2 linked regions of the Coturnix japonica genome follow. The protein of the gene in region 2 interacts with the protein of the main gene of each other region in a pairwise test. Links are inferred from orthologs where the notes say so. Each region holds a gene or a part of one and is shown on either strand. Other genes may lie near its edges.

What was found.
Region 1: the proteins of HTT (region 2) and PKM interact in binary tests that used the Homo sapiens proteins (3 or more experiments, as listed by UniProt). The link is inferred for Coturnix japonica from reciprocal best matches to the Homo sapiens genes HTT and PKM.

Annotation. Positions count from the first base shown.
Region 1 is NC_029525.1:981,148-986,508, reverse strand, and holds the start of PKM (pyruvate kinase PKM), read left to right. Parts: upstream 1-1,431; 5' UTR 1,432-1,517; intron 1,518-4,639; 5' UTR 4,640-4,658; coding exon 4,659-4,699; intron 4,700-4,911; coding exon 4,912-5,081; intron 5,082-5,361. UniProt on the Homo sapiens protein: Catalyzes the final rate-limiting step of glycolysis by mediating the transfer of a phosphoryl group from phosphoenolpyruvate (PEP) to ADP, generating ATP.
Region 2 is NC_029519.1:74,565,827-74,571,494, reverse strand, and holds part of HTT (huntingtin), read left to right. Parts: intron 1-1,527; coding exon 1,528-1,690; intron 1,691-2,297; coding exon 2,298-2,458; intron 2,459-2,815; coding exon 2,816-3,029; 3' UTR 3,030-5,668.

The DNA.
Region 1 (5,361 bases), on a different chromosome or scaffold from region 2:
TAGTCCTCATGAGACCACATTCGGTCCCCATGGCCTCACATTGGGTGTCTGCACTTCTCTCTCATTGACCCCAGCACACGGTCCCTGTGGTCCCTCAGTTCCTCATGGTCTCTATGGCTCCACGTTGGTTCCCCATAGGTCCTTGTACCCTCCCATTAGATCCCTGTGGTCACCACTCAGTGCCCCCAGCATAGGAACCCTATGGTCCCTCACGGTCCCTATGGCCCCATGTTGAGTCCCCTTGGCCTCACACTGGATGCCCCATGGTCTCTGCTTAGTGTCCCCAAATGTCCTTAGCACAGTTTCCATGGTCCCCCTTGGTGCTCATGGCCTCATGCTGGGTGCCCACAGTTCCCCTGGCCTCACACTGGGTTCCTACAGGTTCCCCTGTTTCTTCATGGTTGCCCCCACTCTCTCTGGCCCCACACTTGGTCCCCATGGTCTCCACTTAGTGTCACCAGCACAGTGTCCCCATGGCTGTGGCACTGGGTGCCCACTTTGGGTGCTACATTACTGTCACAAGGACCCCAAGAGGACCTCAGAACAGAGCCCCTACTTGTGGTGCTGGCACACTGTCCCCTGCACAATGTCCTGATGATCCCAATGCAGAACATCCAGGTAGGGTCCTCCATGGTCCCAGCAGTGTCCCTATGGTCCCAGCACAGGGTCCCCCCATTGCTGGCACCATGTACCCATAGATCCAGCACAGTGTTCTCATGTCCCTGCCTTTCTCTCCCTTTTTTGGGATGACCTGGGGACACCCCACACCAATCAGAACCATGGGGACACCAACTCGATGGCTGCTGACAAGTTCGGGTGCCCAGGCCAGCTCTGTAACTCGAGATACCTATTTTTGTCCCCAAGTGTCTATTTCTGTCCCCAGACCTCAGAGCTGGCAGCAGGGGGATGGCACGTTTCCCCCTGCACCCCATCTTCTGTGGGTGTCACCGCGTTGGGGGGCTATGTGTGACGAAGCCACATGGGTGCAATGACCTTTTCTCACTGGGACACCTGTTTTGTCCCCTAGATTCGGGGAAAACCCCATTGACACATGGGGGACATCGCGGGGTGGCTCAGAGGCCAGCAGGAGCCACTTCACGGCGTCCCTCGGCGGTCCGGCATCCCTGCAGGTACCGTGGGCAAGGGGCTCGGGTGGGAGAGCCGAGGGGAGCGGAGCCATTAAGAGCAGCGCGGCCCCTTTAAGAGCAGCGCGGCCCCTTTAAGAGCAGCGCGGTCCCTTTAAGGCCGCAGCCACTCTTCCCCCGCGTGCTCTCCGGCTGCGCTTGCCGCCCTCTGATTGGCTGCGCGGTGCGTGAGAGTTAAAGCGCTTCCTCCGCAGCTTGCGCGTCCGCCGAAAAAAGGAGTCCCGGCCGTTCGCCCCGTTGCGCAGTGGGCGGAGGGATCCGCGGGGCGGTGCTTCGGCCGGGATCACCTTGGCTTTGCGGCGGGGCGGCGTGCAGAGCGGCGGAGGGGCTCGTAGAGGACGCGTCCGGGCACAGCCGCGGCAGCACCAGGAGGTAACGGCGGCCTCCGGCTCCCACAGGGAGGGCGTTGAAGGAGGGCGGGTAGCCGAGGCCGCCGTCATCGTCGCCGGACCCGGCGTTCAAGCGGGAGTGTTAAGCTCAGGGCAGGGCGATGAGACGCCGAGGGGGCGCTGAGGGGAAGGGCGGCTCCACGCGGCTGGGGTAGCGGCGGCGGAGGGATGGATGGATGGATGGATGTGTGTGTGTGTAGGTGTGTGTGTGTGTAGGTGTGTGTGTGTGTAGGTGTGTGTGTATGTAGGTGCGTGTGTGTAGGTGTGTGTGTATGTAGGTGCGTGTGTGCCCCCAGCGCTCCGCCCGCCCGCCCTGACTCAGCCGTCGGTGCCGCGGCCACGTGCCGTGTCCCCGCTCGGCTCTTGCCGAGGCTCCCCGCTCTCCCAGCCCCGTGCTCCCATCCGTCCCCCTGTAGCCGCCTGCCCGCTCCCTCCGCCCCGCTGCGGCCTTTGAGGCGCTCGGGGGCCGTGAATGGGGCTACGGCGCTTTCGTTGGCGGGGGGCGGCGTGCGGAGCCCGCTCGGTGCCGCTCCGTTAAGGCGCAGCGCTGCTCGGGGAGCGGGTGGGAGCGCGGGGCCGGGTTCGGGCATCGTCCTGCCCCAGGGACGGCACTGGAACGGGAGGGGATGGCGGGGGGGTGTTAGAACTGGGGAACCGCCCTCCGACGCCGGCCCGAAACCGCCGCCGTGAGCGCTCGGCCCGCTCCCGAGCCGCCGTCGGACGGTTGCGGGAGGCGGAGGAACGAACGGGCTCGGCCGAGCGCCGCCACCACGTGCTGCCGTGTGCGGGGGGAGGGGGCGGCGCCGCGCGGTGCGGGTCGGCACGTACGGCATGGGCGGCACTGGGGGGTGTGAGCTGCGCGGGGCATAAGGGGCATAAGCTCCACGCCATAAGTTCGTCGCCCGCGCTTCTTCCCTTCTGATTAAACAGGCTTCGCTTGAGCCTGCCCCGTGCCCTTGTCCTCTAGGAAGGGCAGCCGCAGCACAGCAGCGCGATGCCCAAAGCTCATCCTCCGCCTTGTGGCTCGGCGTCCCGTCCCGGCCGTCCCCACGAGGGCTGCCTTGGAGGCCATCTTGCAGTTGCATAAGGATGCGGCGAAACCTCCCGCAGTACGAGTCATCCCCCCCTCCCTGCCGGGGGGCCCGCCGTGTTGGCGGCGTGCTGGGAGCCCGGCTGCGTGGCCGTGGGGTGGGGATGGCGGTGGGGCTGAGCCTCCGTCGTGCCCCGGGCACGGCTGGGATGCCGCAGCCGGACGTTCCGTAAGTCACTGAGTCACCCCGCTGCTCGGCCCGCTGCCCTCCAACGGTCCGGCCCTTCTGGAATGTTCAGCGGCCGGGGAGGCATCGGCCATTTTGAGCGTGCCCTGCCTGGAATGGGGTGATACCTGGAGGGATTTAAGAGTTACGCCCCGAGAAAGGAAAGCTGCTTTGTGCAGGGAATCAGGCTTTGCGAGGTATTACTCCCCACCCCCTTCCCAGCTCAGCTCACTGTGCCTGCAGGTGTTTCTTAAAAGACAAAAAGTGGGAAATGCCAGACGTTCCTCTTGGGGTTATAAAACAGCCCCTTGGAGCATCCATCCTTGCAATTGGAATGCAGGAGGAAGCAGAGGAACGTGGGGCTCCCTGCAGCCCTGCAGATGGTGGCTGGGTTTTTATTCTGGTGCCGTGTTTCTTCTGTCCTCCCCATACAAGGTCACTGCGTGGCTGCAAAATCTCAGGGGATTCTGACTCCAAGCAATTTAACTCTCCTCCCTTCTTAGACTATTGCAAAGCCTTCGGGGCTTGAAAATCACACTTACAAATGACTTCAGTGGGTGGGGAGTTTCCACAAGGAGGAAGCCGCCTCCAAAGCAGGGCGGCTGTGCTCCTGTATGAGCTGCACTCAGTGCTCTGTTCTCCCCAGCCCTATTCCCTACAGCCACTATTCCCCGCAGTCACACAGGCTCTTTCTGCTGCTGTTTGCAGAGGCAGTTTCCTGGCAGAGGCCCTTTGTCCTGTCCAGCAGGTGCTCCAGGATGCACCAGCAGATGTTAGAAGGCTGAAACACAGTGTTCAGGTCTGAGCAGCGGGCATCCCTGTAATAAAACGCCTTTGTTGAGGCTTTTATGTGGGCAGGCTTTCTTGTACTGACTGAAGTGAATCAGCAGCTTCTGGCAGGGCTGAGGTAAAGGCCGCCTGCCAGGACAAATTATGGTTTCTGCTGGCCCATCTTTGCGCTCCATTTCATGCGTCGATGAGGTGATGGTGAGTCAGGGCTGCCTGCGAGAGGATCTGCACGTAGGAGGGGGGAGCGGCTGCTCAGGGACCTCCGTGCTCACACTGCTCCCTTCTGCTCAGCTTTAGAGGAGCTGCTGGTTTATTAATGCCCTGTGCAGATGGAGGTGCAGCGTGGGGAAAAAAATGGTGAGCTTTGTTCATGTGCCAGATGGGAGTGTGTCCCTGCATGGCGCAGTGTGCCGAGGGTGAGCAGCCCCCCACACCTTGGGGAGCAATGCACTGAAGCTGGTGGCAGCAGCATGCGAAAAGCTGAGCCTTGCACAGGCACAAAGTCCTGTCTCACCTGGCTGTAAATGCAGGAGAGGACAGGCAGGTTTTAGTTGCGTTGCTGATTGAGGACAGAATTCCCAGCCGGGTGTGCTCCCATTGCAGCACACATCAGTGTTTCACTTCAGCTTTCTCATGGGGTTGGGACCTTCCCCGCTGTTCTGGGGATGCTTTTGTCTCATGGAGGCAAACATGGGATTTCTTACTCCCAGAAACATCCAGTCTTATGCCCTGTGGAGGCTTCGTACAGATGCAGGGGCTGTGGGAGACTGCTGCTGTTTATTTGGAGGAGGACATTCAAGGATTCTTTTGTCTTATTTGCATCGTCTGCCCCGGTGTTGTGTTCAATCAACTCAAGTCTGATTATCTGTGCGGGCTTAAAGGCTGGGTTAAGCCTAGGTGCACTTGGTGTGCTGAGGTGTGTCCCCGTGTGCAGCACAACTGCAGTCACACCAGCTGCCTTGATCCCTGGGCTGCTGGCAGAGATGGGCTGAGAGCGGGCAGGGAGCGGGCAGCACGCTGCCTGTGCACTGAAGCGCTTGAATTTTGTTGCGTTGTGTAGCTGCAGGGGAAGACTGGCAATGAAGAGAAGCTATGAAGGGAACTTCTGCATAGAAGGCAGGTGAGCTTTGGGTGGCATCCATGGGGAATGACATTTAAATAGAAGTGTGTCTTGCCTGTACCTAAGACTCTCAAGTAGGAACATAACGATAGTCTGACCCAGTAGCAGCTTTCTTGTTACCTCCATATTCATCACGTGGGTGTGTTGGTGTCTCTGCATGGTGAACGAGCAGGGGCGACCCTTAAACCCGGCACCATTTTCTTCTCTCGCAGACACCGAACATCAGTAACCATGTCAAAGCACCACGATGCAGGGACCGCTTTCATCCAGACCCAGCAGCTGCACGCTGCCATGGCAGACACCTTTCTGGAGCACATGTGCCGCCTGGACATCGACTCCGAGCCAACCATTGCCAGAAACACCGGCATCATCTGCACCATCGGTACGTGGCTCCCAGATCCCACATTGTAAGCTCAAGCTGTGTTTGCTTGTGTTGGTGAAACTCGTTGTGGGAATGTGGGATGGCTTCAGCCTTTATCCGTTGCGAGGGCTGTGCCTGTCTGTTGAGACTTGACTTTCCCATGCCTGCCTGCCCAGTTTTATTGCTTGGATTAAATTCAGTGATGTCTGAACTGGTTGGGTTCAAACGAGCTCCTAGAGTCAAGTTAAGACAAAGGAGCTGCTTTCATGTTGAGCAGTCTGTATCCACTGTGCTTCACTTA
Region 2 (5,668 bases):
CTGCATTCAGTGAGAACAGAGCTGGAGCTTTGCATGAAAAAATCACTCCTAAAAGTTAGTAAAACAAACAGAGGAAGACTAAAAGCAGAACGTGTCTTATGATTATTCCCTACAATAGTTACTAGCTTGATCTTAGCACACTGAGAGATGCGGTGTTTATTAGGAAGATTTTTCAGGCTGTGTTCGTTAAATAAGATAGCCTTTAAATTGAAGATTTCCCCATTTTACAGTGATTTTCTCAGTTGTACATTAGTCATTCTGGTGTTGAGTTAAAAATATGCTAAGATGTTATTAATGAAAATCAAGGTTCTGCTTATCGCAGAACAGACCTTAAAGCCCATCTCTAACCAGTTCCAACTCCCTATTGTGGGCAGGGCTGCCCACCACTACATTAGAGGGTCCAGGGCCCCATCCAACCTGGCCCTGAACACCTCCAGGGATGGGGCACCCACAGCTTCTGTGAGCAGCCTGTTCCAGTGCCTCACCACCTTCTGAGTAAAGAATTTCTTCTTGTTATCTAAATCTCCCATCTTTTAGTTTAAAATCATTCCCCCTTGTCCTGTTGCTATCAGTATAAAGTAAGTCTCTCTCCTGTTTATAAGCACACTTTAAGTACTGGAAAGCTGCAGTGAGGTCTCCCCAGAGCCTTCTCTTCTCCAGTCTCAGCAAGCCCAGCTCCTTCAACCTTTCTCCATAGGAGAGGTGCTTCAGTCTTTGTCACCTCCTTTGAACCTGCTCCCTAACCATGTTCTTTTTATGCTGTTGGCCCCAAGCCTGGATGCAGTACTGCAGATAGGGCCTCACAAGAGCAGAGTATAGGAGCACAATCACCTCCCTCACCTTGCACACCTCTTTTGATGCAGCCCAGGATATAGATGACATTGTTGGCTGCAAGTGCACACTCGCATCTATCTGTTCATCAGAATCCCATAGTCCTCCTCAGTGCTGGTCTCAATGAGTTCTTATCCTGGTCTGCACAAACCTTGCATTGGACAGTGGTGAACCTCATTACGTTCTTGTGGGTCCACTTTGCAAGTTTGACTCTGGATGGCAGCTCTTCCTTCTGTTGTACCAGCGTCACTCAGTTTACAGACTTGCTGAGGGTATGCTCAGTCCCACTTTACAGGTCACTGATAAAGATGTTGAAGAGAATGGTCTTTTTTCTGATAATTAGTAGTAGTGATCTCGCTTTTTTTTTTTTAATTCTCATTAAACTTTATCAGTATTTGTATTGTGAAATCTTGTCTCTAAACCAGCAGTTTAAAAAACATTGGCTACTTGAGAAAGGAAGTGGGGAAAAACGTTGGGGGGGCAGGTGAGGGAATAACTTCTAAGAACTTATTATAGCTTTTTACATTTCTTAGTCTACACTGTTAGTGTAAGATGAGGTGAAGTCTTGAATTCTTGTTTAAGACTTGCCTATCTAAAGATGAAAACAGAGTATTCTTCCTATTGCAATTAATTTGAAAATTAACAAGATGTTCACTGGAATTAAATCATAAATCGTTATTTTTCTATTATTTTTAGGATCAGGAAGGGGTTTCCTTTTGAAGCTAGAGTCGTGGCCCGAATTCTTCCACAGTTCCTTGATGACTTTTTTCCTCCACAAGATGTAATGAATAAAGTTATTGGAGAATTTCTATCCAATCAGCAGCCTTATCCACAATTTATGGCAACAGTAGTTTATAAGGTAATATATATCTGTCTTTTTCCTTACAGGTTTCAGAGAACTACTAAGTGAGCGACAGCTCTTCAGTCTTCAGTACTTGAATACAAGGGGCAAATATAATTTTCACTAGATCTAATAAGCTATTCAGCAGTGTTTGAGGTGTACTGCTGTGAACTTTGTGTTCTGGGGGAAGTGGCGGATCTAGAATCACCTTGATAAAGGAAAATTAATGGGAAAATTAATAGCAGTGATTATTCTGCTCAGATTCTTCTGGTCTTGAGAAGCCACTCTGGGTCATCTGGTCTTATGAAACCAGCCAAGTTTCTGGCAGACATAGTTGGGCTTCTTGGTATTCCGCATTCCATCACCTACTTATTGTACTCGTGCATGTATGCACCACCCTTTATGTATTAAAAACAGAGACACAATGCGGGTCTTGCTTTTTGTGCGCTCACTTCAATTTGCCACAGGTGTCACGAGTCCACTCTGCAGAATCACTTTGTCAGAGTTGTCTCCAACAGCTCTGAACCTCAGAGCTCTGTAGATGAGGTAAACCTTCAAAAGAGAAACTCAACTCTTCCCATGTCTGTATGTCTTGTCTTTATTCCTATGTAAAATATTTTTGCAGGTATTCCAGACGCTACATACCACTGGGCAGTCCTCAATGGTCCGTGACTGGGTGATGCTGTCTCTCTCTAATTTCACACAGAGAACACCTGTGGCAATGGCAATGTGGAGTCTTTCCTGTTTTTTTGTCAGTGCTTCCACCAGTCAATGGATTTCAGCAATGTATCCTAAACAGCCCGAATGTGTGTCACTTCTGGGTAAATGTGATTCTGTAAAGGATATTTATAGCTTAGGAGGTCAAAAGTAATAACTGCTGTAGGCAGTTCAGACTAATTGCACCATTTCCTCCATTAGATAAAGACTGCTGCTAGGTTAAACGTAAGTTTCTGGAAATAAAAAAATTGTGTTAAGCTGCTGAAGAAATAGGATTTATGCAGTAGCTGTTCAGTGAACACATGAAAGTGTTTTTCACATTGCTAATGAACTCAAATATACACCGCTTCATTGGAGAGCAGTGTTTAAAGTAGTAAACCAAACGTGATTAAATTCTGTCGTTTCTGACCTTAACTTACATCTCAGTCTTCCACATATTATCAGCAGAATGGGAAAACTGGAGCAAGTGGATGTTAATATCTTCTGTTTGGTGGCCATGGACTTCTACCGACATCAGATTGATGAAGAATTAGATCGGAGGGCTTTTCAGTCAGTGTTTGAGGTGGTGGCATCTCCAGGAACCCCATATCATCGCCTCCTAACTTGTTTGCAGAATGTCCACAAGGTCACAGCATGTTGAATGTCCCGATGCATAACGAAATTGCATGGCCAGTGTTGGAATCTGAGACGAACTATTAAAAATGTGAGATTGAGGAAGTATCTGTGGTTGCACTTGTGATAAACATGGACCTGCCACTTATTTTCTTCCAGAATGCATGGAGAAGTGCTCTGTAGCACTGGAAATCACCTGAAAATTCTAGTGTAGCTTTTATTGTTCTTGACACAAGACCCATGTGGGTGGAGTTGTCCATGTTCTACAAGTGATGTTTGGGACTAATCTGAGACAGATTTACTAAATGTAAACTGTGATTAAGTGCTACATGCAAGGTAACTGGTATTGTTCTTCCTAATGTTCTGCTGAAGCCACGTGTTGCAGCTGGTAAGAAACTGACAGAAACACTCCATTATTGCAAGCTGCAGTCGTTAGAAAACTCCATAGTTTTATGTACATGTATATACTGTTGTGTAGTACAAAATAGGTTATTGAATTGAATTGTCTCTCCCAAACAAGGACAAGAAACGATGGCTTTCATGAGTTACACTTCCAGCATGTAATTCCTCTCTAGACTTTCTTATATCCTGTGGTGCACGTGTTGGTGGTATCAGAGATGTGGTGCACATACGTAACCACACTTTTTTTTTTTTCCTCTCAGGATTTAAAATTTGAGTACAGTATATCAGTAAAAGAAATTTTAACTTAAATATTTCTATTTCTATATCATGTACAGTATGTAAAATTGTAAGATGTGTGATGCATGAGCTGTGCTGTAATTTGAGATGAACAGAAGCCACGCTACTGAATGTCTCAACATCTGTATTGTCCTCATTTTTCCTTGTGCTCAGATTTATGTTCCTTTTGAAAATCCATCTTAATGTACAGATTACATCTTGTTTTGCATCTCACTTTTTCTTAAAGTGCTTTAAAACTGGAATATGTTGATTTAATGCGTCTTGAGTGGCTGTATTAAGGAGGCATTCTTGTGGTCCACTTGTAGCTTTTGAATTCCTTTATTTTGAGATGTTATGGTAAAAGAGAGGACTAGTTGTTTTGAATCAGACTTTTGTATACTCAAGAAATGGCTCTTACCTGTTGCACAGCATTTAAGAGACAATAGTGCAAACTCCCCAGTAGTCAATAACCATTTGACCTTTCCTAACTGAGACCATGGAGTCAACTGGATTCAAACCACTCTCACATTGAACAAATTTGTACTAGCAGTTGAGAATCAGGAGGCTGCTGTGGTCTACTTTGGGACTGGCTAAGGTGTTAGATTACACAACTGCTTTTATTACCTGTCATACACATAACGCTTTAGACACACAGTACAAATATCAAGGATCTTATAGCACTGCACAGGGCCAGATTTAGCTTTTACCCAGGAAACCCGATTGATTTGTGAGCGTTACATGGGGAAAGCACAGCATTTGTCTTCAGTTGCATTTATTATAATTCTTTAATTATAGAAAAAACGATAGCTGGGTTTTTAGTCATGTCCTATATTTAACCTTTCTTCTATTTCTTATCTCACCTTTTGGTGACACTTGGAAAAATGAGATAGTGTTGTCAGGAGGAGCATGTGCTTGTATGTATTTCTGTATATAATGTATATGTGGAAATTATACACGTGACAACATTTAATGTATACAGATGTGTATATTTGTATTTATTAAACCCGTGTATTTAAACTAATTCCAATCTAGACCAAAAATTGTTACTCCTGCCCATAAATTGATTTAAAAGGAATTGTCCGCTGGTGTCACTTCCTCTTAAAAAGGCAAAACTGATAATATGGGCAGTAGAAACAACTGTAGACATTGCTGTATTTAGCTCTCTACAGATCTTATTATCTAGAGCAATTATTTCTGCCCTTAGTTGGGTTACTCTTATTTTTTGGGCCACAGCACTGTGGTGATTTTTAAAAGAAGCTGAATAGGAGTTCAGAAAAAGATTTAATAGATACTGTTTGAAAGTTTTGAGTTGCATTGGAAATTATCTTAATTCTCACAAGAGACTAATTCAAGGCAGTGAGATTTAATGCCCTGCGCATTCGTTAAGGGTACTATAGATCACTGTTCCCTTTTGTAACCACCAGTAATCGTTTTGTACTGTAAACCCACACACCAGTCAGTTTTTGTATGATATATAGTTTAAGTGAAGATATTTTTGTAAGCTATTTTCCAAAATTTAAAATAGATTTTAATATATTTTTTAAGCATCAGGTTAGTCATATTCTCACCAACAGTATGTGTTGTGTTACAAACTGTTCAATTCTTCATAATTTTAAGCTCCTCATGATTAACACGGACTAGTTGGTTACTTCACCTTGAGATAATGGGAGCTAGTCCCTTTATGAAACTTTCCAAACCAACTCATTTGGAACTTGCCATAGAATCTTTCCAACCACTGAAAGGATGTATTGAACCAAGCCGTCAGCATGGCTGGATGAGAAGCATCTGATGTGACAAAGCCCCTTTTCCTCAAATGGCCTTTAAGCAAATAGTTGCATCACCCAGTTCTAGGCAAGCTTTAGAGCTGATGCAGTCAGTTTTACACTCATGGATTCACTGCTAGTAATTACTCCGTATGTTGAACTTCTCTTGGAGATTTGTCATACTATGTGTGTGTGTATATATATATAGTATACATATACCTATATA